2 linked regions of the Styela clava genome follow. The protein of the gene in region 2 binds, or shares a complex with, the protein of the main gene of each other region. Links are inferred from orthologs where the notes say so. Each region holds a gene or a part of one and is shown on either strand. Other genes may lie near its edges.

Evidence for each region. The genes of interacting proteins can lie anywhere in the genome.
Region 1: the proteins of WD repeat-containing and planar cell polarity effector protein fritz homolog (region 2) and protein inturned-like are in contact, whole or in part, in a cryo-EM structure (PDB 7Q3E), measured with the Mus musculus proteins. The link is inferred for Styela clava from reciprocal best matches to the Homo sapiens genes WDPCP and INTU. Residues at the interface, in NP_663400.2 of Mus musculus: Phe3, Cys4, Leu5, Ile24, Leu51, Ser54, Arg55, Asp56, Lys93, Leu385, Ala386, Glu387, Asp388, Tyr389, Ile427, Lys446, Leu447, Gly448, Ile449, Leu450, Thr451, Arg452, Gly453, Leu455, Leu462, Gln463, Ile465, His466, Tyr467, Gln487; in NP_780724.3 of Mus musculus: Val481, Gln484, Val488, Asp491, Ser495, Asp496, Glu498, Ala499, Ala500, Asp501, Ser506, Glu507, Asp508, Arg513, Arg514, Thr517, Ser532, His533, Leu534, Pro535, His574, Tyr593, Glu610, Gly613, Cys614, Ala615, Ser616, Lys617, Ser653, Pro654.

Annotation. Positions count from the first base shown.
Region 1 is NC_135250.1:6,315,705-6,326,566, reverse strand, and holds the start of protein inturned-like, read right to left. Parts: upstream 4,223-10,862; 5' UTR 4,149-4,222; coding exon 4,054-4,148; intron 2,607-4,053; coding exon 2,492-2,606; intron 1,985-2,491; coding exon 1,738-1,984; intron 1,484-1,737; coding exon 1,328-1,483; intron 959-1,327; coding exon 873-958; intron 336-872; coding exon 173-335; intron 1-172. Other genes in the region: uncharacterized protein LOC120343293, read right to left, coding at 5,586-5,726, 6,799-6,984, 7,334-7,511, 7,805-7,883, 8,211-8,285, 9,306-9,539, 10,065-10,208, 10,355-10,523. UniProt on the Homo sapiens protein: Plays a key role in ciliogenesis and embryonic development.
Region 2 is NC_135251.1:12,945,449-12,955,615, forward strand, and holds the start of WD repeat-containing and planar cell polarity effector protein fritz homolog, read right to left. Parts: upstream 4,505-10,167; 5' UTR 4,297-4,504; coding exon 4,221-4,296; intron 3,238-4,220; coding exon 2,987-3,237; intron 2,314-2,986; coding exon 2,190-2,313; intron 1,820-2,189; coding exon 1,664-1,819; intron 935-1,663; coding exon 775-934; intron 646-774; coding exon 570-645; intron 1-569. Other genes in the region: uncharacterized protein LOC120336489, read right to left, coding at 7,089-8,121, 8,936-9,063, 9,559-9,634, 9,828-9,974, 10,091-10,167. UniProt on the Homo sapiens protein: Probable effector of the planar cell polarity signaling pathway which regulates the septin cytoskeleton in both ciliogenesis and collective cell movements.

The DNA.
Region 1 (10,862 bases), on a different chromosome or scaffold from region 2:
CAAGAATATAATAGAGTTGGTAATCCGTGAAGTAACTGAACAACACACCACCAAACAGTTCTCGAATAGGGCAAATAGGAAACAATGTTTGGTATTTTGTGACACACTTGCAAAGTTAGGCACCACTGACTAACACCAAAAAAAGTTCTAATAATAGATCTCTTGGACATACCTATTTGCAAATCCGTATCATTTGTAACAGAAGGCTTTAGATGTTGAACAGATACAGGAACACATTTTGGTTCACTGTCAGATAACAAATTGTTGCTATCCAATGCAAGTCCAAATTCAGGTGTCGTAAGATTTATTTTTTCACATTGTATTGTCAATTTTAACTAAAAACAAGAAGATGATCGCTGAAATTAAAATAGGCTTTCACTTCTTTTCATAATATTGTAATTTATCGTCAAAAATATGGTTGAAAATTTTGAAGCTGAATAACCGATGGACCTGAATTCAATATTCGAACACATTTCAAAATGGGTATAATGAATATAGGTAATTCTGGATTTTATTAAGAATAATTTAGAACAAGTTTATTAAAAATTTCTTCATTCTGAGTCATTGACATTTGACACGCATACAAAAATAATATTCAGTTTCTTTTTAAATCTGACAATCTGTATATAATATCAAATTGAAGTAAACCTTCTACATAAAAATATAATTGTTTGTACAAATTTCTGAGATGAATATAACATTATTTTCAACCTATTCGATTTTCAGAATTCAGAATAGTAAATTATACCATCTTAGCTTTCGCTATATACGATATATCTCATACTACTGAATTTCAGATCCCTTATATTTAACCAAAAAACAAAAAAGATTAAAATATCAAATTACTAATGGAAAAATAAATGTTTTCCTACCTCCATTCTCTGGGGTATCCTTCTGAGTACTTGCTCTATATTAGATCGATAAACAGCAACATCGTTAATGGCGAGTAAAATATCACCTTCAAAGGTAGTAATTATGAGTAATTTACTAAATTTCTATGTTGGCCAAAAATAATACATTTAATAGTACAGTATTATCGGCGTTCAGTCAGTAAAAATTTTATTCGAAAAAAAAATTCGGAATTGGAAAATAATTAAAATTCAACTTTGCAACTGATAACATTTATTATAACACATTGGCAGTCAAAAGTAAAATATCCAAATATATATGAACAATTTGGCGCTCCTTTCATATTAAGGACTGCTGGCATCAAGTCTTTTACCAAATGAAAAAGTTAAAACGCATCCAAAACTTTTTTTTCCGAATCGCTGAGACCAATTGAAAATATTAATCATGTTAAATAGCATTTTCAAGTTATAAAACTTACCTATTTCAATGGCTTCACTTCTGAAAGCAGGCCCATCAGGTAACAATGCACTGATTATAATAGATTTATCATCGCTAGTCTTCGCAAAATATTGTCCTCCGTTAAGACTGTTGAGAGAAATGATACCGAGCATTTGTTTCAACAAAGATGAATCACCTAAAAAAAAATGTAAAATATATTGATATTGAACAAATGAAAATCCAACAAACATGTTATCAATTATTCAACAAACAAAAAATGTCATTAATAAAAAAATATTAGTATACACTGTACAGAGCCTTTTTTGGAGTGAAAGGCCCCCCTTAAGAAAAACATATGAACCCATCAATTAACCCACACGAGTAATAAGAGGTGCCCGTTCACTGGCAGGGGTGAACGACTTTCAGAACTAATCCCTTAATAACTCTAACCTGATCCATACGATGACGCCGAGTTCACACAAACAAAGACAGTTTTAAATTCATTGTCGCTTTCATCCGAGTGAAGTCTGAAAGAATCGTGTTGCCTATGTCTATTCTGTTGCTGATTCCGATGAGCTAAGTATTCATCTCTTATTGTTTTTCGTTCATTCACGCTAATTGAATGGGTTTGTCGATGGGATGGAGCGTTTGATGCTGTACCGTGCAGGTCTGTGCTTGACAATGTGTTGTCGAATTTCTGTATAGAAATATATTACTTCAAAGATGACAGCAATGCTCAAATAAATAGATACAGAGGTCATGCATCTGTGAAGTATGGTATGGCCTGAGAACTTCAAGTTTGCAGACAAGAAATACAGGGGCGGGTCAAGCAATACAGAACAGGAGGTGTTTTCTAAAATTTTGGTGAAATATCAGGGACTCCGAGAAAATTAAAATAGCAACTTTTCCATCATAGAGTTGGCCCACTGAAAATTCAAAATTAACTTGTCCATCAGATATGGAGTAAAGATTTTTTTTTCCCAACAACAAACCAGAGAAAAAAATTTAGCAAAATGTATAACTTTAGTTATAGATTATGGCAGAACAAACCTTTTACAACAAAATAAAAACTTTTATCACCCCAAAATTTGTGCAATGGCAAGTGTGTATCCCACCCACAAAAGGCCAACCCCAAGTCTTGTTTTTCCAATTAAGAATAGGAGCCTGGCTGAGAGGTCAACTAGGCCTACTAATGCCAAATTACTTTGTTTCGAGCATCTCTATTTTGCTGCACTGTTTGATGTACTGATGTTTCATCTTCAACAAAAAATAATTCTCCATCATCATCTATTTCATCATGCCATGGTGGGTTTGAATCACTGTAGAAATGAATATGTTTACTATCATATCATTTGAAAACATCACTGGACAGGTAATTGCATGCGCATATAAATAATTAGTAAGTAAATATAGGATAAGCTTTACATATTTATCTCGGGGGAGCTGGTTTAGACTGCTGAATCACATGGCAAACCATGGCCTCTCGCCCGGTTACCAGTCCATGTCGGGTACAGGATTAGTTAGCCAGTTACCATTAAATTGCCAAACTTCAAGGTGTAGTGTAATCTAGTACCACAAGTACTTCTAGTGGGCTTGGCATAACCATTTTTACATATGTCAGTATGTTATTGAGGTGGGGGTTAGGTATGACAATATAATACAATTCATTCAGAAAATACAACACTCAGTAAAAAAAATCGGGTCCCATGTAGTTTCGTACCTAACATACTTCTAGTGAGCGTAGCATGATAATTTTCATGTATCAATCCTAACCCCCACCTGACTACACCATCCAAAAATTATGTCATTAAGACGTCACAGTGACGTAATACAGCCCTTCAAACTATACGAAAATGCCATCCAAAACGCGCAAACGAGCACCCGAAATCGAACAGTTATTTCTCTCGATTTCTCGTTGCAACGATTCCAATAGGAGAGGGATCGATAACCCCAGTCAGTTCTTTATCGTAGGCGCCAATGCCATTTCGGGCGATAGTCGTATATTTGACAGATTGTTAGGATTGACATATCAAAAAATTGTTATGCTACGCCCACCAGAAGTACATTAGGTACGAAACTAAACGAGACCCAAAAAATCATATTACAGAAATGCCAGGAAAACGAGCAAAACTCAAGAATATAGTTCATAACATGTAATGCACGTGCCTGTTCACCAAAAACAACACACATAATATGATAAGATTATAATAAAAAAGACTCGATGAGCAGAAGTGAGAGGCTGGTCGGGTGTTTCGTGTGATAGGAAAATGAGGCACGAGGCACGCATGCCTAGGTTACTTGCTACATGAAAATATCAAAATTTGAAGGCAGGTAAACTGTTTAGTATGCGAACTATTAACAATTAAGATTCCGGAAGAGGCCGTTTTTGCATTAAATAAAATTATTGGTATCACACAGGTCATATCTGACATATAAAAAAAAATTGTTGCTCCACGCTCATTAGAAGTTAGTGTGGAACGAAACTACACAAGTACCCAAACCTCGGACAAAAATTTTAAACTTGCATAGCTATCTTGGCTAGAAAAGCGTCGTACAGTCGTATATTGCCAACGAAATACAGTTAGAGCATAAAATTGCGCAGTCCATAGGCTGTAGCTCAAAATGATCAACATTTAAACATTGTAGTATGGCAGGAAATTAAATAGTATATTTTAGATTGAATTGTATAAACCGACAGCAAAATAGCATCAATTCATTCATTTGCTACCGTCAGACCGTTATTGAAATAAAAACAAAGTCACTTACTCAGAAAACTCATCAGCTCCGGAACTAGAATATGTATCACTGTCGTCAAAATCTGAAATGTTTTCTGTACTCTCATTAACATTAGACCGCCACATCGTACTTATCGATTCTTGAAAAATCTCCACCGTCAACTACAAACCTAATGCCGAGACAACAACACTCGAATTTCAAAACAATAAACAGCGAGTACTACAGCGGCCACCTGGCGGGACCTTTGATTAAAATTTTCCAAGGTTTCGAACAAAATGTAGAACAGGCGGAATTTGAAATATATTTTCCCTGTACCATTTCTACGTATAATCAACACAACTTGAGGACCGCAAAATTAGAATTTATTGTACAGAAGGAGTAATCGGTAATGACACGGGGATAGAGGTCATTGGAAACTGTACCCACTGTCGACATATCGCATCTGCATTCCCACATACGTATATTGAAGAGACGATAATTTGCTTTGAAGGGTAATCAGGTAAATATTTTATCATCTTCCGTGCTGACCAAACCAACTCTGACACTCTTAATACCACTAACAAATATCTCGAAAAAAGGTTACACTCACAGCTAGTTTTGCTAGGCGACCCATCACTTTCTGAGCCTGATCCCAGACCAGGAGTTAGCAAACACCACAAAAACATGTTCACAGCTCGGATCAACGTCAGCCCATTCAACAAGTAATGCCTAAGCCTAACACAGTGACAAACTCAAATTAAAACTATGTGAAATAATAATTTTCTTCAGAGATGAGAACAAAAACATCTTCGAATACAATTGAAGATAGGAAACTGCGCACCTTCCCCAAGTCCTAACATTGCAAAAATGAAAACCAAACTGATTTCATCACAATTGTACTTTATTTACATTTTCAAAATGCTTGAAACGATGCATGCCATCAATATTCAATTATAAACATTCGATTACCAATGCAATAGAAAACTTAGCTTCAACTACAAAGACTTAACATCTTTCAAGTCTAAAATATTCAATCAAATTCCCCATGACAATAAGGTCAATTTCTGATGATATTATTACTACAAAGCAAGATTATATACCTACTACAAGTCGAATGGGCTTCCTTGTAATAGATTCTACATGCAAAACTACGGCTTTTGTTTGTATCAAAAGCAATAATAACATAATTCGGTAAATTCTCAACTCATTGATGGAACTGGAAAAGTTATAAAACCTATTACAAAATCAACTGACAACATTCATTTCTAAGCATACAAAGGCAGTGTTATAAACAAATTCAGATCGTAAAAAAAATTTTCGATCGCGAGTCGCAAATCAATTGCTAAAAATTGATAGGCTAAAAGCAAGATTTGCCTAATTCAACATGTAAACTACAATCAATTCGTCCTTTATTGGAGAGTAGCGATTCTAATAATAGGATATTCATTTTGATATTTAATCAAGTAAGATGCTAAAAAATTTCAGAAAAACACTCAATAATAAAGGTCCCAGGCAGACAACTTGGCCTACGCTTGATCATTGAAGCAAACTGCTGTTGTTTTTGTTGTTGTAGGTTCCAGCGTTTAGGATTTTGGCACCTGTTGCTGTTGTTGTTGAGCGGCTGCGGCTTGCTGATTGTAGTACTGCTGATAGTTAGCATAGTAGTTTTGATATTGTTGGTTCTGTTGTGCCTGGTAGTACTGTGCCCATTGTTGGCTGTAATCCTGAATATACAAATAAAAATAAACACATTAAAAAATGTACAAAAAGATGAACGAAATGCTTGAATCTGAGTCAAGAAATATTAATTTGTTCGAAAAATAAATACCTAGTCAGCACAGTAAACATGAACAGCTCTTTCAAAAGGCACATGCGCATGTTCTTACTTATCGATTATAATCGATAAGTATGTTGATAGGTATTTGTCTGTATGTCTGTTAGATGCACGCGATATCTCACGAAAGCGAGATTGAATCTGCTCCAGATTTTGCATGTGCATTCATCTTATCTCGGACCAGAAGCCTATTGATTTTGGGCGAATTATGTCATATAATTAGCGAGTTATCAATCAATTATTGATATAGTGATCTAGATTTTTGTAAAGCGAGAGAATTTTGAGACCCGCCGAGTGTGTGTGTGCGATGTGCAGTGCGCAAGTTACAAGAGCGGATGAATCGAAACCGCAGTTTCTGTTTTGGGGGATCCCCTAACTATCGATCGATAAGTCTTCGGTTTCCAACCGATATTCTCGTTTAAATGTTGTCTACTTAAATAATTTAGGAAATTTTTTTTTACCAACTGCCTAATATTATTTTGACAACTTCTTTTATGGTATTTTATTCACTTATCGGAATCACCGAAAAAAAAACAGAAAAAAAAGTGATGTACATTTGCTGTGCATAAAAGCGGTAAGGCAATAATGGACCAATGTTCAGAACGGTGTCACAAAAATGTTGCGTCCCGCTTTTACCCTTTTTAGTACACTTGTTGGTACTCCCGTAGTGTGTGTACCAGGTTAGGGTTGGGCCATAATTGTTTTCCGATATTCCTTATTTTAGTTCTATTACGAGTTCGGGGATTGCTATCCGAGTGAATGTACAGGGCAGGGGGCCCATAGCTTTCAGTCCCTTTAGACAACTTGATGTGAAGTAGGGAACAAAATTAGTTACCTCCAGATTGTTACACACACTTCTGGAGCGCCCTTGTTTCAATTAGCTACACTTGTCCCATTGTTCTGAGTTGGGATAAATACATTTTGCGGATTAATTAGCAAATGAACTAAAAAATCTAAAAAACCTGTTGTCCGTATTGTTGTTGGTAGCCTTGTTGTTGGGTCTGAGCATTTGAAGTTTGTGACTGAGTGCTAGGTTGTTGATAGTTATAGCCCTGCATACCATAGTTGGCGTAATTCTGCATTTGTTGTTGCTGCCTCTGTTGTGGTTGTTGTTGCTGTTGGTTCGGGTGATGACCGTAAGTGTACGACTAAAAAGAGAGAATAATAAGAGTTAAAAGTGCCACGACCAGAGATAAAAAATGAATGAAAATTAAAACAGCTTCCTTTTGCTTTAATTTTGAAATATCAAGAGATAAAAATTTTCTTAATAACCGATCCTCCAAAATATGACTACATATTTAGCTACAGGAACTACAGAGATATTTGAATTTCCCATGTCACTGAACCACTTCTAGAGTTCAACTAACTGGATGGTGGCAAGAAATATGGCTAAAATGGTAATGGTCATACCAATAAAACCATTGCCTATGAAGTAGAAGCCCAGGTCCGATGTAAAAAGAAGCTTTGATGCCGCAGAGGTTGAATACTACATCATACCTGAGCTGAAGGATGAGTGTTAGATGAGGCATTATTTCCTTGATATTTATTCTGTCCACCACTGCCTTGTCTTCCCTGGTATCCACCACTTCCGCCTCCATTACGATAACCTCCTCCACCACTGCCGGTACTGCTACTACTACTACTACTACTACTTCCTCCTCTTCCTTGATTGTGCCTGAAAATGGAAATTATTAGAAACATTAACAGCGTTTCATTCGGGATAAAACATAATGCATAGACAACGCCAAATGGTAACTATTCTGCCGCTCTGAATATTTTTCTGCTTCTCTAGAATCCTATTTTGAGAAGTGTGAAATTCGTCGTCAAGGTATTATATTCATCACGAAAAACTGAATTTAGGTAAGGCATAAACACCATCAAATTTGAGAGTGATTGGAACAATACTGAACAATAACAATTAAAATAGATGGAAGATTTATTCAATTAAATCATATTATAAAAACATACTTATTGTATCCTCCATACATATCACCACTTCCGCCACCGCGTCCACCTCCATATCCGCCACGACTCTGTTGCCATCCACCTGTTGTATTAGCGAAACACAAAATGAGAGACTACAAATAATGAAATGACAAATATAAAATAAATATGTAAAAATGTTTGAATCGATTCTAGCTACATTGTATGGTTTTCCATAGATTTACTGTGAACGAAATAAAAATTGCATAATAATGAAATTTGAACAATTCAAAATTGCTGTTTGTTTTAAAGTGAAATTTGCATTTTAGACACAAAGTCGACATAAATTTACTACTCTCTTGTTGTTGTAGTTAGAAACATCTGTGTTGATGTGATGCAAGCATCTCACATAACTTATGCAAATAAATTCTTGTTACATTATTGCTTTTACCTCTTTTGGCTCCGTCACGACTGCCGCCACCACTTCCGCCACGATTGTCTCTTCGTCCACCTCCACGGTTGTAATCTAGAACATGGGTGTGCAATTAATTTCTTTAGTGGGCCACTTACAGATACTAGACTTGGTCACTGGGCCATAAGTTCTTAACCCAATAGGAAATTATGAATGAAAAAGGTAATTTGCACGTCTAAACGCTAGTCCCGAGCACTGTTCCTGGCAGAGAAGTTAAAGTTTTACAATGACATTAATAATTCGGATGGGTGAGTTTGAGGTATATGAGGCTTATTTGCACATTATATTTAGGTTAGGGTTATGTGTAGAGAATATTTTTGCCAACAATTTGTTATTCCCATCAATGTTTTCATTGAAATATATATTCATAAAAACTTTAGTCATAGTTTTAGCAGACACAAGTGGGCCGGACGAAACACTTCAGTGGGCCGTAATTTGCCCATCCTTAATCCAGAGGAAACATTGAGTCGTTGACAAGCATTTTAGATTGACAAACAAACCATAGTTCTCAGATTTTAATATGGCGCTTTACCACCTGGCAAGTATTAAAATTGGCATGTTGAAACTGTAGAATGTAGTTCCCATACAAGTGCTAGATAGAACCTAATCACCAACTAAAGGTTGTGGTTTGTTTATATAATCAAACCATCTTATCAGATGACTCCGTCAATAATTTTAGTTTAAATGAAGCAAGATTGGTAACACATGGGTAGTGACATCAAACTGGCAAGACAAGTATCGGTAATTTACCAAACCTAACTGAACAGAATAAACACCTCCACTACCAATAGCAATTATGTTGCCAAGAACAAAACATGGCCAATATGGAGGTAACTAATTTTGTTTGCCTACTTTACCTCGAGTTGTATAAAGTGACTGAAACGTATTGGCAGAGGGTGTATTCACTTGGCTAACACAAACAGTTCCTGAACTCAATAGAACTAAAATAAGAAAAATCGGAATAAAATTATGGCCTAACCCTAACTTGGTACACATATCACAGGAGTGCCCCATAAACATATTGAATACTATAAAAATATCACAAAATTTGGTTTGACTATAGATACTACTTACCTCTTCCCTGATCGTATCCTCTGTTTCCATAACCCCCTCTTCCTCCATAGCCTCCACCTCTACCTCTGAATCCACCCCCGAAACCACCTCCTCCGCCTCCTCTGCCGTACCCCATTGGGCCCCCACCCCCTCCTCCGTATCTTCCCCAACCACCCCTATTTCCGTATGGCATGGGTGGTCCATAGTTGTCTCTTTGACGCCACCCACCGGGTCCTCTGCTCCTGTTGTCACCATCTATATGGAGAAATATGTTATAAGAACAGCTAGAAAGTGTAGTTCAACTAAAATATAAGAGAATACTGTAAATCAGGGGTGTTCAACCTGCGACCCGCGAGCCAAATGTAGCCCACAAGGAAAAATTGTGTAGGTCACAGAGTAGTGCCAATAATATGGTGTGAGGCCAGCCAAATGAGTTTTTAAATTAGTTTAATCTAATATGTGCGAGAAATTCAAATTCTTTTGCGTTACACCTGAGCAAAGCGAACAACATGTCAGAAGATCAATACCCAAAATTTTTGTACCAGTAACTACTAGAAAGTCTGTTAAATAAAGGTGTGGCCCGCGGCTTCACCTGTTATTTGTTCTCAGAAGTTTTTCAAAAATATTTGATAATACTATATTCACGACAGCAGGAAGCAGTCACTACTTGTACAAGTAGAAGGCGCTCAAGCGCTGAATAAAAAACAACCACATTTTACAAATATCTTCATTTTCAATTATCGTAAATAGTATCCAGACAGCCGACAAAAAAATCCATACTTCTGGATCTTTTTTCAGGAGGTGGACCATTCTTTCGTCCATCTTCTCTGTATTTTTCGACAAGTTTTTCCGCTTCTTCTCTCTCCAGCTCGGTAAAGATTACTTCGTCGAACAAGTTTCCTTTCTCGGGGAGAGAAAAGTTAGCTGGAGACAAGAAAAAAAAAAGGAAAAAAAAGTTAATTTCGTACAAAAAAAATATTATACCCAAACTGTTAGTTAGACAATAAGGCCGTATATTATAAGACAACTAATAGTACCCATCGAGACGTGAAGTCTGACGGTTACGATACCTTTCATTTCAAGAACGGCCATATCAGGTACTTCCTTCCCTTCATCCTGTGTGCGTTTTTCAAAACGCTGCTTATATTCTTCATCACTCGGCACAATAACAATAGCCTTGCGCTGAAAGCCCTCAAACGGACGCATTTTCCGTCTCTGGGCCGACGGATACACATTTGTCTATTTTCATTCATTCATTGTTGATTGTAAGGATGCATCACATGACATCGTACACCACCACGTAAAGTTATCGTGTGGTTTGAGCAAAGCAATACATGGGGAAAAAATGCAAGGAATCGGATTAGTTAACAGTTTTTTTTGCATTTTATCTCAATATATCTGTAGAGTATACAAAATTCATATGGTTATCAGACAAATGTGTATATGGTTAGGAAATACTTACCGTTCTCTGAAGCTGTGTTAAGTATTGTTATCGATAAGTACATTATGAAAAGAACCAAAATAAAATCAGTAATTTTCTAATTGATATTGAGACAAGAAAAAAATTGAATTTCCATT
Region 2 (10,167 bases):
AGGGTGGTTCGCGCATCTGCTGGTTGGTTACAGCTTTTTCCACCGTCAAGTCCATATATCTGAAACAAATACCTGGCTAACTAACCTCACAACCGGCATAGACTTGTAACCAGACGAGAGGCCATGGGTTGTCATATGATTAGGTCTTCTTATCAGCTTTCCTTCCTCGCAGAATAAATAAGTAAATCCTATTCTTATAAACTAACTCAGTTCTATTGGTAAAATTGAATACATTATCCCTCACAGTGTGTGCAAGTACATAATTGGACAGAGCCTTGTTCTGAGCAAATGTGCTCAAATCCTAGTTTCATTATAAAATATGAATCTACTTAATACGCATGTAATGAAAATCATAACCATAAAAATATCCCCAAAGGAACTAACGCTAGTAAACGGTACTCTCGTAGTATGTGTACCAGGTTAGGGTTAGGTCATAATTTCATTCCGATTTTCCTTATTTTAGTTCTATTACGAGTTCGGGGACTGTCTATGTTACCCGAGAATATTACCCCTTTCCATAGGCTTCAGACCTTCACCAAACTTGATGTAAAATTTAATTACCAAATTACCTGATTTTCATTCTTTCTGCTGAATTCAACATGAATTGGATTAGATTCTGTATATATAGAACTGTAGATTTCCAATCTGAATCAAAAAGAGAAAGATTTAACAGTAACAAGTTGTTAATAAATAGTGTACGACTTTTACTGCATTATCTGAATTGAGTATGGAATCGTTAGACTACCGAGTTTCACTATATCAAATCTTGCTCACCTGCCAAACGAAGATCCAAGTAGAATCATATTAGCTTTTTCTTCATTTGCATCAGTGGAAGTCCATGTTGATGGTGTTGTGTGCGATGTTGACCAACATATCGCAAGATTATGAGCTTTATTTACACACAGTTTTCTATTCCCTCTCATAGAACGAAAACCTAATAAAATTCAAAATTGAATTTAAACAAGATATTTATAAAAAAAAAATTGAATGTTGAATAGACATATTTTATGTTTGTTTACATTCAAAGAAGTTTTTGTACGAGTCATCATAAATTTGTAGCGATAAGAAGTTGATTTGTAGTTCTAAAATTTTAAATTGCCATTGTTTTTTGACCGGTGTTGTAAAACATGCGATGGCTTAATGATGGAAGCGTTGGACTAAGTTGGAATCAGAGATGACAAATCTCGGACTCAAATTCCATTATCACCACTTCACTCAGGGGTAATAAATTGAGTAGACAATGTTTGAAAACAGAAAAAAAGATTTTGGCACTTCTAAACTATAGCAGTGGATGTTAGTATGAAGTGTTGTTCAGGGTGAAATACACATAAACCGTAATAGTAGCAGTTAAATAGAACTGTACATTTATTAAAATTATATTTCTATTGCACATAATCATATTTTCAAAAAAAATATTTGAGTTTCGTCATACAATCAGGAATTCACCTCAAAAAATAAAACTACCGGTAATTAATTTTAAAAATCTATGAATCATGACATTTAGATAAGGACATATCATATAACTATACTTTAATAAAACAAAACATTCAATCAAACTAAATTCATCCGACTTATCAGCCACGATCAACAAAATAATTTTCTGTCACATGATACCGGCTCGCTGTCACTGTATTTTATAATTATGGGCAAACAATAAACAAACCTGGTATATCATGATAAGATATCTTCATGTCCATTGATGATAATTTACTTGATAGTTGTTTTTGATTGGGAGTTGCAGGTCTTTGTACAAAACTTATAAAACATAACTTATTTGCCTCATCCAAACAAAGTAATAAAAATCGATCTGTGAGATAGGCTGCAATGAGAAACAGAAAATTATTATTTAAATATAGATAGTGATAAGAGAAACTTTTAAGATGATAATGAAAAGCCTGGAAAGAAATACATGAAACTTAGGAAGCGAAGAAATACTTTCTGTCAGCTATATCCTGCTAAAAGCCTAGCTATTTTCCAAATCTGATATATTGATAAGACAACAGAAAAATTTATTCCAATTAAGAGGAAACAATGTATACTATCTGAGCCCCATCAAATCATTTTTGGCCTTTTACTCTAGCTATCACATCTCAAAAAATTAGAAATCTTTTCAGATTCAACTAGATCTGTAAATATTATATTATATATTATTCCTTATACAACTTGTTATACAATACATATTACAATACCTGCACCAATCGGTCCGAAGTCTGGTTGTATTTTTGTCAACAAAGATTTATCAAAAAATATTTTCTGTATATCGAAGTTCTCCGATAAAAGTATATTTATCAGCAAACCAGAATGAACAATTATCTGAAAACAATATGCTATTGGTTTATATTTTTTAGCTTAGCATACTAACATTAGTTGTCAACAAATCATTGCATTTTTCTTCCTACAGCTAGGAAATAAGTACAATTTTGCTACATATGAAAATTAAGATACCATTTTCTAAGTATATTTTAATAAATGACTATACCCTCTGAACAATCAATAGTAATAACAGAACATACAACATCTCAAAAATTATGACACAAATTTTTGTATCAATTGCATTTAATTATTCAACATAAGTAAACTCAAGCAAGCTAGATAACAGTAACAATGACAATGAATGGACAACCAAAACTCCTGGATAATGCTCATCAACAATCAAGCAGCAACACTACATTACATCTCAAATAATACCTGATGCTTGATATAAAAATAAACTTCATATTGTCTCATTATTGTTATTACTTTTCCTAATTTCAGTTGGAAGTGATCTTAGCATATACATATCTTCTTTGATTGTCTGTTGAGAATGCTTAAAACTTTTAATCGGGCTCCCACTCCCGAGAGTTTGAAGGTACAACAATATCTTCGAAATCAATAAAAACATGGTAAACAACACTAACAACCCTGAATGCTTCCGCCAAAAATCATGTTTCTTTCCAAATACTGAAATTTCTATAAAATAAGATATAAAAGTGAACTGAAATCAAACCTGAAGACTGTTTCGTTTATCCCATTTCACATGAAGAATTTTATGAGATTTCAGTATTTCTTCCAATTCTTTGATCGAATCTTTCAATCTTTCTGGTCTTTTATTTGGAAGAATCCACGTTCCTCCTCTGCTTTCAACATACTGCTGTTTAGTGTGATAATATTGTCCTTTAATTTTCTGACTCTTCTGTCTAGCTCCATCTTGCTTTTTCGATTCTTTGTCGTAATAACAGAATGCAGAAAGATTGTCTTCTATAAAAATAGAAGAAATATATCAATGAAGAAATTAATGAATTGTTATTCAGGAGTGGTTGTGATTATTATATAATATCTGAATATGGTGATTACTGGATTATAGTCAATACAACTGTCTGACTGTAGTACAGTAGTAGTGCCATACTTGATACAGAATTTTTTTATACAGCTGTACAGGGTCTTTTTCGAACATAAACAGCACCAGTCTTGTTGTGGAAATGTAGAGACTTTGTAGAATAATATGCGTCTCGTGTAGTTTCGTACCTAATGTACTTCTAGTGGGCGTAGCATAACAATTTTTTGATATGTCAATCATAACCCCCATCTGACTACGCCATCTGAAAATTACATCACTACGACATCACAATCACGTCATAGAGCTTGCCAAATACTCGTACAATCGCCCAAAATGGCATTGGCGGCGATGATAAAGAACTGACTGACATTATCGATCTCTCTTCTATTGGAATCGTTGCGACGAGAAAACGAGAGAAATAACTGTTCGATTTCGGGTACTTCTTTGCGCATCTTGGATGGCAGTTCGTATAGTTTGAAGGGCTCTATTACGTCACTGTGAGTCTGTGACGTTGTGTTAATGTAATTTTTGGATGGTGTAGTCAGTTGGGGGTTAGAATTGATACAGGAGAAAATTGTCATAATACGCCCACTAGACGTATGTTAGGCACGAAACTACATGAGACCCGAATAATATAAAGCAGGAAAGGGCTGAGAATGCAACTACTTTGTCAGTTTGTTGCTGTTGACAGATTGCCAGGTAAAAAATTTTTGTTGAATTAAAAAGTATGTCATACCCTAACTCTGATCCTAAATCAGCTAAGTTTATTTCGCCTCCATAATCAGCATGAATGACGATTTAATAATTCTGTAATTGATAATAATAAATAAATAAGCACTGATTGTGAATTGGACTAGATTAATGCCAACTTCTTTTCAAAGGATACCATGCGGTACATACATACCTGGGATTTGGCACTGTCTATCATTGAAGGTCCAATACTGTATGCCGCAAGTAATCGTACAGACTGAAGACGACATTCCTCCCGACTGCAAGCAGATCTAATGTGAGTAACTTGTCGCAACTCATTAATTCGGGAGGACCCACAATTTTATCCGTTAGTTTTTGACTCTCGCGCAACATCTTGCGGATGGTTAAATTCCATGTTCAAAATTATGGAGATTAGACAGAGCTGTTCAGCAATCATCCCGCACATGAAAAAACGATCGTAAAATTTCTCCGACTCCATAGCTCTACCCTTTAGTCTGGTGCCAATCACAAACCAAATTTATACTTACATATTTGTGATTGACGGATACGATGACTAATGATGATGATTGACTAATAAGATGGCTCGGCGCGGCGCGGCGGTGTGGCTCAACGGGCTAAGCGCTAGGAATACGCTCGCCACCGCACCTCTAATTACTTTGCGTGGGTTCGCAGGTTCGAATCCCATGCAGGGATGATTATGTGCGAGAGGATTGCTGGACTCCTCGCCGTCGTTGGGTGGTTCACGTAACCGCTGGTCGGTTACGGCTTCCTCTACCACCAAGTCCATGCTTCCGAAAACAAAACAATATAGAACTAATCCCATACCCGACTTGGAATGGTGACTGGACGAGAGGCCGTGGTTCGCCATATGGTTAAGGCGTCTTATCGGCTTTCCTCTCTCCCCAGGATAAACATGTAAATCCTATCCTATAAATCCTAAGATGCGCGTCGATGTGGCTCATCGTGCTAAGCGTTAGGAATACGCTCGCCACCGCACCTCTAATTACCCTACGTGGGTTTGCAGGTTCGTATCATCTGACCAGCGTCAAAATTTCCAATACAAACTGACATGTTGACAAAAGGTATTATGTACACGTCGCTTTGTTCTTAATTGATCTTTCTGTAATCATTTGTGTCAGTACTTCATGCTCTACAGAAATAAAATATCTAAACATGATTTTGTATTTCTTAACCTAGATGAAGTTTTTTTTTCATTTTCCCCAATCAATGTGTGTTCATTGTGCTGTTTTGCGTGTTTTTTCGTTTCGGAAAAATAAAAATAAACTTATACTGATACGATCGTCAAGGTTTGCGGTCGCTTCGTACCCAAGACTGTCCAATAATAATACATACCGTGCACACTGTTATCTCCGGTCTTACATATCGCAAGTTCCCGCACCTCTGTTATATACTATCCATCTTCTGCGCCTTTCACGTCTTTAATTGCCAATAAGCACGTGGTTAACTTTGGAACACAATCTGACGCAATCGAACTTAGGTAGCTACAAAGCAACGCGAAGGTTAAAAGCGAGGCAAACTTAAATGAAGGGACTACCATATTATATACGAGGATAATATATGACGGCGCGGCAGTGTGGCTCATCGTGCTAAGCGTTAGGAATACACTCGCCACCGCACCTCTGATTACTCTGTGTGGGTTCGCACCCCGTTCGGGGATGGTCACGTGCCAGAGGATTGCTTGACTCCTCGCCGCCGTAGGGTGGTTCACGCAACCGCTGGTCGGTTACGGCTTCCTCCACCATCAAGATTTGTCGGTTGAATAATAGGTACAGGTACTCGGGATCATGTTGAAATGTACAGACCATAGTTTTATAATGAATGGGTGGTATGACATGATTGATGAATTCATACTTAGCACAACAGGTGATAAAATGGTTTTTGTGAATACAGTATTTGGGTATCCCAACCACATACTTCATCCAGAATTTTGATATTTTTGCACCTTTTCAACAAACATGGTGCACAGCTCCAGTCTAATACATCATTTCAGTAGCACACTCGACACAAAGTGCCAAGAATGAACCCTATATATCCTACATGAGCAGACATCTATTTGCATAAACAAATGATTCGGATTCTAGGACTGTAAGAAAATGTGCCGAGGTGAGTCTATCAAAATGGTCATAATAGTTCAAATGTGTTAGGAACAAACTAAGGACTACCAGCTTGTTCGCGCAAAATCTGAGCAGCGGACAGATAGAAAATCATCTTGTAAATGAAATCATTTCGATGAAAAAGAATAATTACGACATGATCATTAATCTAGGTTCAAGTGTTTCAATATATGAAATCTCACTAGACGAAATTTTTTTTTGATATTAACTACGATTCTTCAATAAGATTTGCACACTGGTAAAAACTATGGTGTATAATATTTCATTCAACAATAATAATAGGAACTGTAATATTAGTTGCCAAAACTGTTTTTCAGTCACAAAGAAACAGACAAAAAATATCTGATAGGTTGAATTTCATTTACTGTGTACTTCAAATCAGAAAATTAGTCGTACAGCAGTAGAATTATCATAAAAAGAAATGGAATATTTATTGAACATTAGATTTGAGTAATCAAAGAAAATTGATGCCAGAATTACAACGAATTATGTTTTTATAAAAGATTGTAACATCATAGTTAGCTCCAATAAACATTGGATCAGCATATGCTTATATAATAACCATGATGAACATATTATCTTGATTGCCTGAAGCCTTCAAATGGATAATTTACAAGGATTACTGGAATGGATGGTTACAGTACAACTCGAGTAACCACTCCATGGACCATGCAAATATCTATTCGTTGATCTGGTTACCTATCCCCATACATCACCTCAGACACAACCAAACCAGAGGCAGTGGTTCACCTTATAATTATGCATGTTCATCAGCTTTAATCCCCCTTCCCCTAGTAAAACAATCCTTTCCAATGTAGAAATAGAATATCTGAATAAAATAGTTCACAAACGGGATAGAAATTAGTAATACAGAATGCATCTGGAACTCATGCCACTGATCGACTTCATGTTTTTCATAAAATAACCTAAGCATCGTAATCATCATCATCACTTTTTGCTCTAGAATTAGGCTTTGCTTGATGCAAGCTAGGATGAGCTGCTAAGTGTGAATTTATGCCTAAATGGTGGCTCGGTGGCGTCAGGATGGATTGCGTATATCCTAAGTAATGTCTCTGCGTTGTGGTTGGATTATACGGAACATATGGGTAAGTATAAGGATTAGGTGCACGTTGAAAATCTGGGGGCCCAGATGAAAGTTCTTGTTTTATTAGCGCTGCCGCACCGTGCTGTGTTTTTTCCAGGCTCAGCTGGTTATTTAGAGGTGGACGAGTATCAGGATACAAAAGAGGTTGTCTTAGGCCAGCAGAAGGTTCTGGCAATCTGTGTTGCGTAAGTGGGGAGTATGCATATTTGACTTGGGGCGTCAAAGACGGTCCCTTCGAAACAGTGGTCGTAGCCGGTAATTGTGGTAGAGGCATAGGTGCGGAACTGTAAAGAAAAGATAACATGCCACCCGGTTTTGGAATCACTGGAGGAACATTGTCTTGAGAAGGCTTGTTAGAATCGCCAAAATCGTCTATGTTTTGTTTGTTTCTGCCTGTGCTTGTATTTGACTCACTTTCCTCTAAACTTTTTACTTCATTAGAACTCGCTTGTATTGGCTTCTGATTTGCACATTGCGTATCTCGAATATTAGCACTGCCTACAGCTGCAGTAGACTGTGAATATACTGCTGTGTTTGCGACGATAACCCCTTGTCTGACAGAAGAATCGTGTTGTTTTTCATGCCTATTGTTTTCTTGTGGTAATGATGTATCCATTGATTGTGCTGGTTTGTCTGCTGTTTCGTTATTTTCAAGATCAGTGAATTTTTTATTGTCACTCGGTTCTTTATTTGTATCAGACGAGGCTTCAATTTTTACAGGTTGGTTGACATTCACCGTAGAAGGTAAAGCATCACTAGACAACAATACATCAAGTGGGATGTGAATAGATGGTTTGCGTTCAGGTCCAGTTGTTACCTGATCAGCTTCAAATTGATTGTGTAGTGAAGAAGTGCTGAAATAATGAAAATAATTCAACATGGATATAGAAATGATTAAATAATTCACAAAACTGTTGAGGTTTTAATAAATGTAATAGAGCAGGGTATCTTAATTAATGAGCCCTTGACTCCTCTTAGGGGCCAAAAAGCAGTTCTTTTGGGATGACGAGCGAGAACCTTCATCAGTCACCATTTGAAATAACTACATGATTAATATTAAATTGACTGTCATTTGTTTGTTTGACTTATTTGCAATTCATTCAGGCTCTGTTGGCTTTTTAATAATTAGACATGTTGCATGAGTCTTTAAAGGGGGAGCTGTAACAATGAAAGTATAGGAAACCACTGGCACCTAGCTAGAGCAGGGCTTCCCAAACTTTTAAGCTTGCGACCCTATCCAATATATTAAAAAGTTTTGCGACCCCCTGAAGGCTGCGGTGAAAGATATTGGGTTCACTCTTCACCCACCATCTCACCCAGGTCGTATTACCGTATCACACAGATTTGTCAAGCATATTAAAGAATCTTTATATATGTCCCAAAACAGGGGAGACAATCTAATTATATAAAGAACCATGGCACAATGCCGGATGCTATTCTGGTTAGCAAACTTAATTATTGATTTATGTGAGCCATACAGTGTTAACGAGAATCCTAAAAATCCTCTTACACAAGACCATTACAGCTATCCTCTCGCACAGGTGCAATGGAAAGAGTGACGCTTAGCGCAATGCACAACTGCCAAGCCATAGCAAGTACCTACAATATGTCGTACTATTTTACTTAGAAGTAACACACAGAGCATCATTATTAACACACAGTTCATACCTTTGCATTTCTAATTTACTTTGAATTGATGGACTGAGTAGACCAGGTGATGAAAATGAAGATGACAATTGTGCATCACTTTCTTCGTTTCCGGACTCGTTCTCACTCGCATCATTACCGGAATCAGTCTTAAAGTCAAGTTAAGTTTGTTAAATGTCTCCTCTTCACACAGATGTACAATATTGATAGCAAATTAGTATACATAAATATGGTGTATATTAGGATTTAGTCATTATTATGGACACTACGGATAGTCAGATTAAAAGCGAATAAAAATGTCATGTCTCTAATAACAATAATATTTGATTTCAAGTTGACATTTTTGCATATTATTCACTTAGTGAGAGATTCCAGAATACTTTTTCGCCTTTAATTTCGAATAAATGAAACTTGTCTGATTTTGAGGAATTTAAATTAACAGTCTACTAAAGGAGTTAAGTGTGGAGTCTGAATTTTTATGGCCCGAAGTTGGAGTCACTATTTCCTTAACTTAGCTTTGTTGCTTATCTAGGTTGTTATTCAAAAATATGAAGACAAAAAATATATAAACAATAGTACATGCCAAGAGGATAAAAATATTTGAGTAGTTTGCAGTTACAGTAAATGTATTTTAAAACACAAACCTCGTCTTCGCTATAATTATTTGAATGTCCTAGCTTTAGTCGTTTTTTTGGTGTTTTCTTAACTTTAGAAGAACTCCTAGAAAGGAAATTATTGTATTAGTAGTAATATGACATAATAAGTTATAAAAAAGCCATAAATCATTTAAGTCAGTTACTGTATGGAATCAAAATTGTACCTATTGAAAATACGAAAATTTATTTGAATAGTTGTAGTTTTCAAGTTTATTTTCCTTTATATATTCCTGGTTACATGAACAACGTATGCATACCTTTTCCGAACCACTTTCTTCGCTGGTTCTCTTTCCATGGAAAGACCCATACTCCCGGAAGCTTCATCTTCATTTTGTACATCAGGTATATTGGCTACATGATCTTTCAAAAAATCGAACATTGTTTCTGACATGATGCATTGTTTTCTAAATGAGAATGAGATAAATTTGAACTATGATAGCAATACAGAAATCCTACAAAGTGGTTTTCTATTCAAAACACGATAGAAATTAGGAAAAATGAGTTATAAATCGTCACTTACAAGTGAGACCTTGACATTGTTTTTGCTCGTTTTGATTTTGTGACTTCACCTGCCTTCGCCAGTAAGGAAGCTAGGAA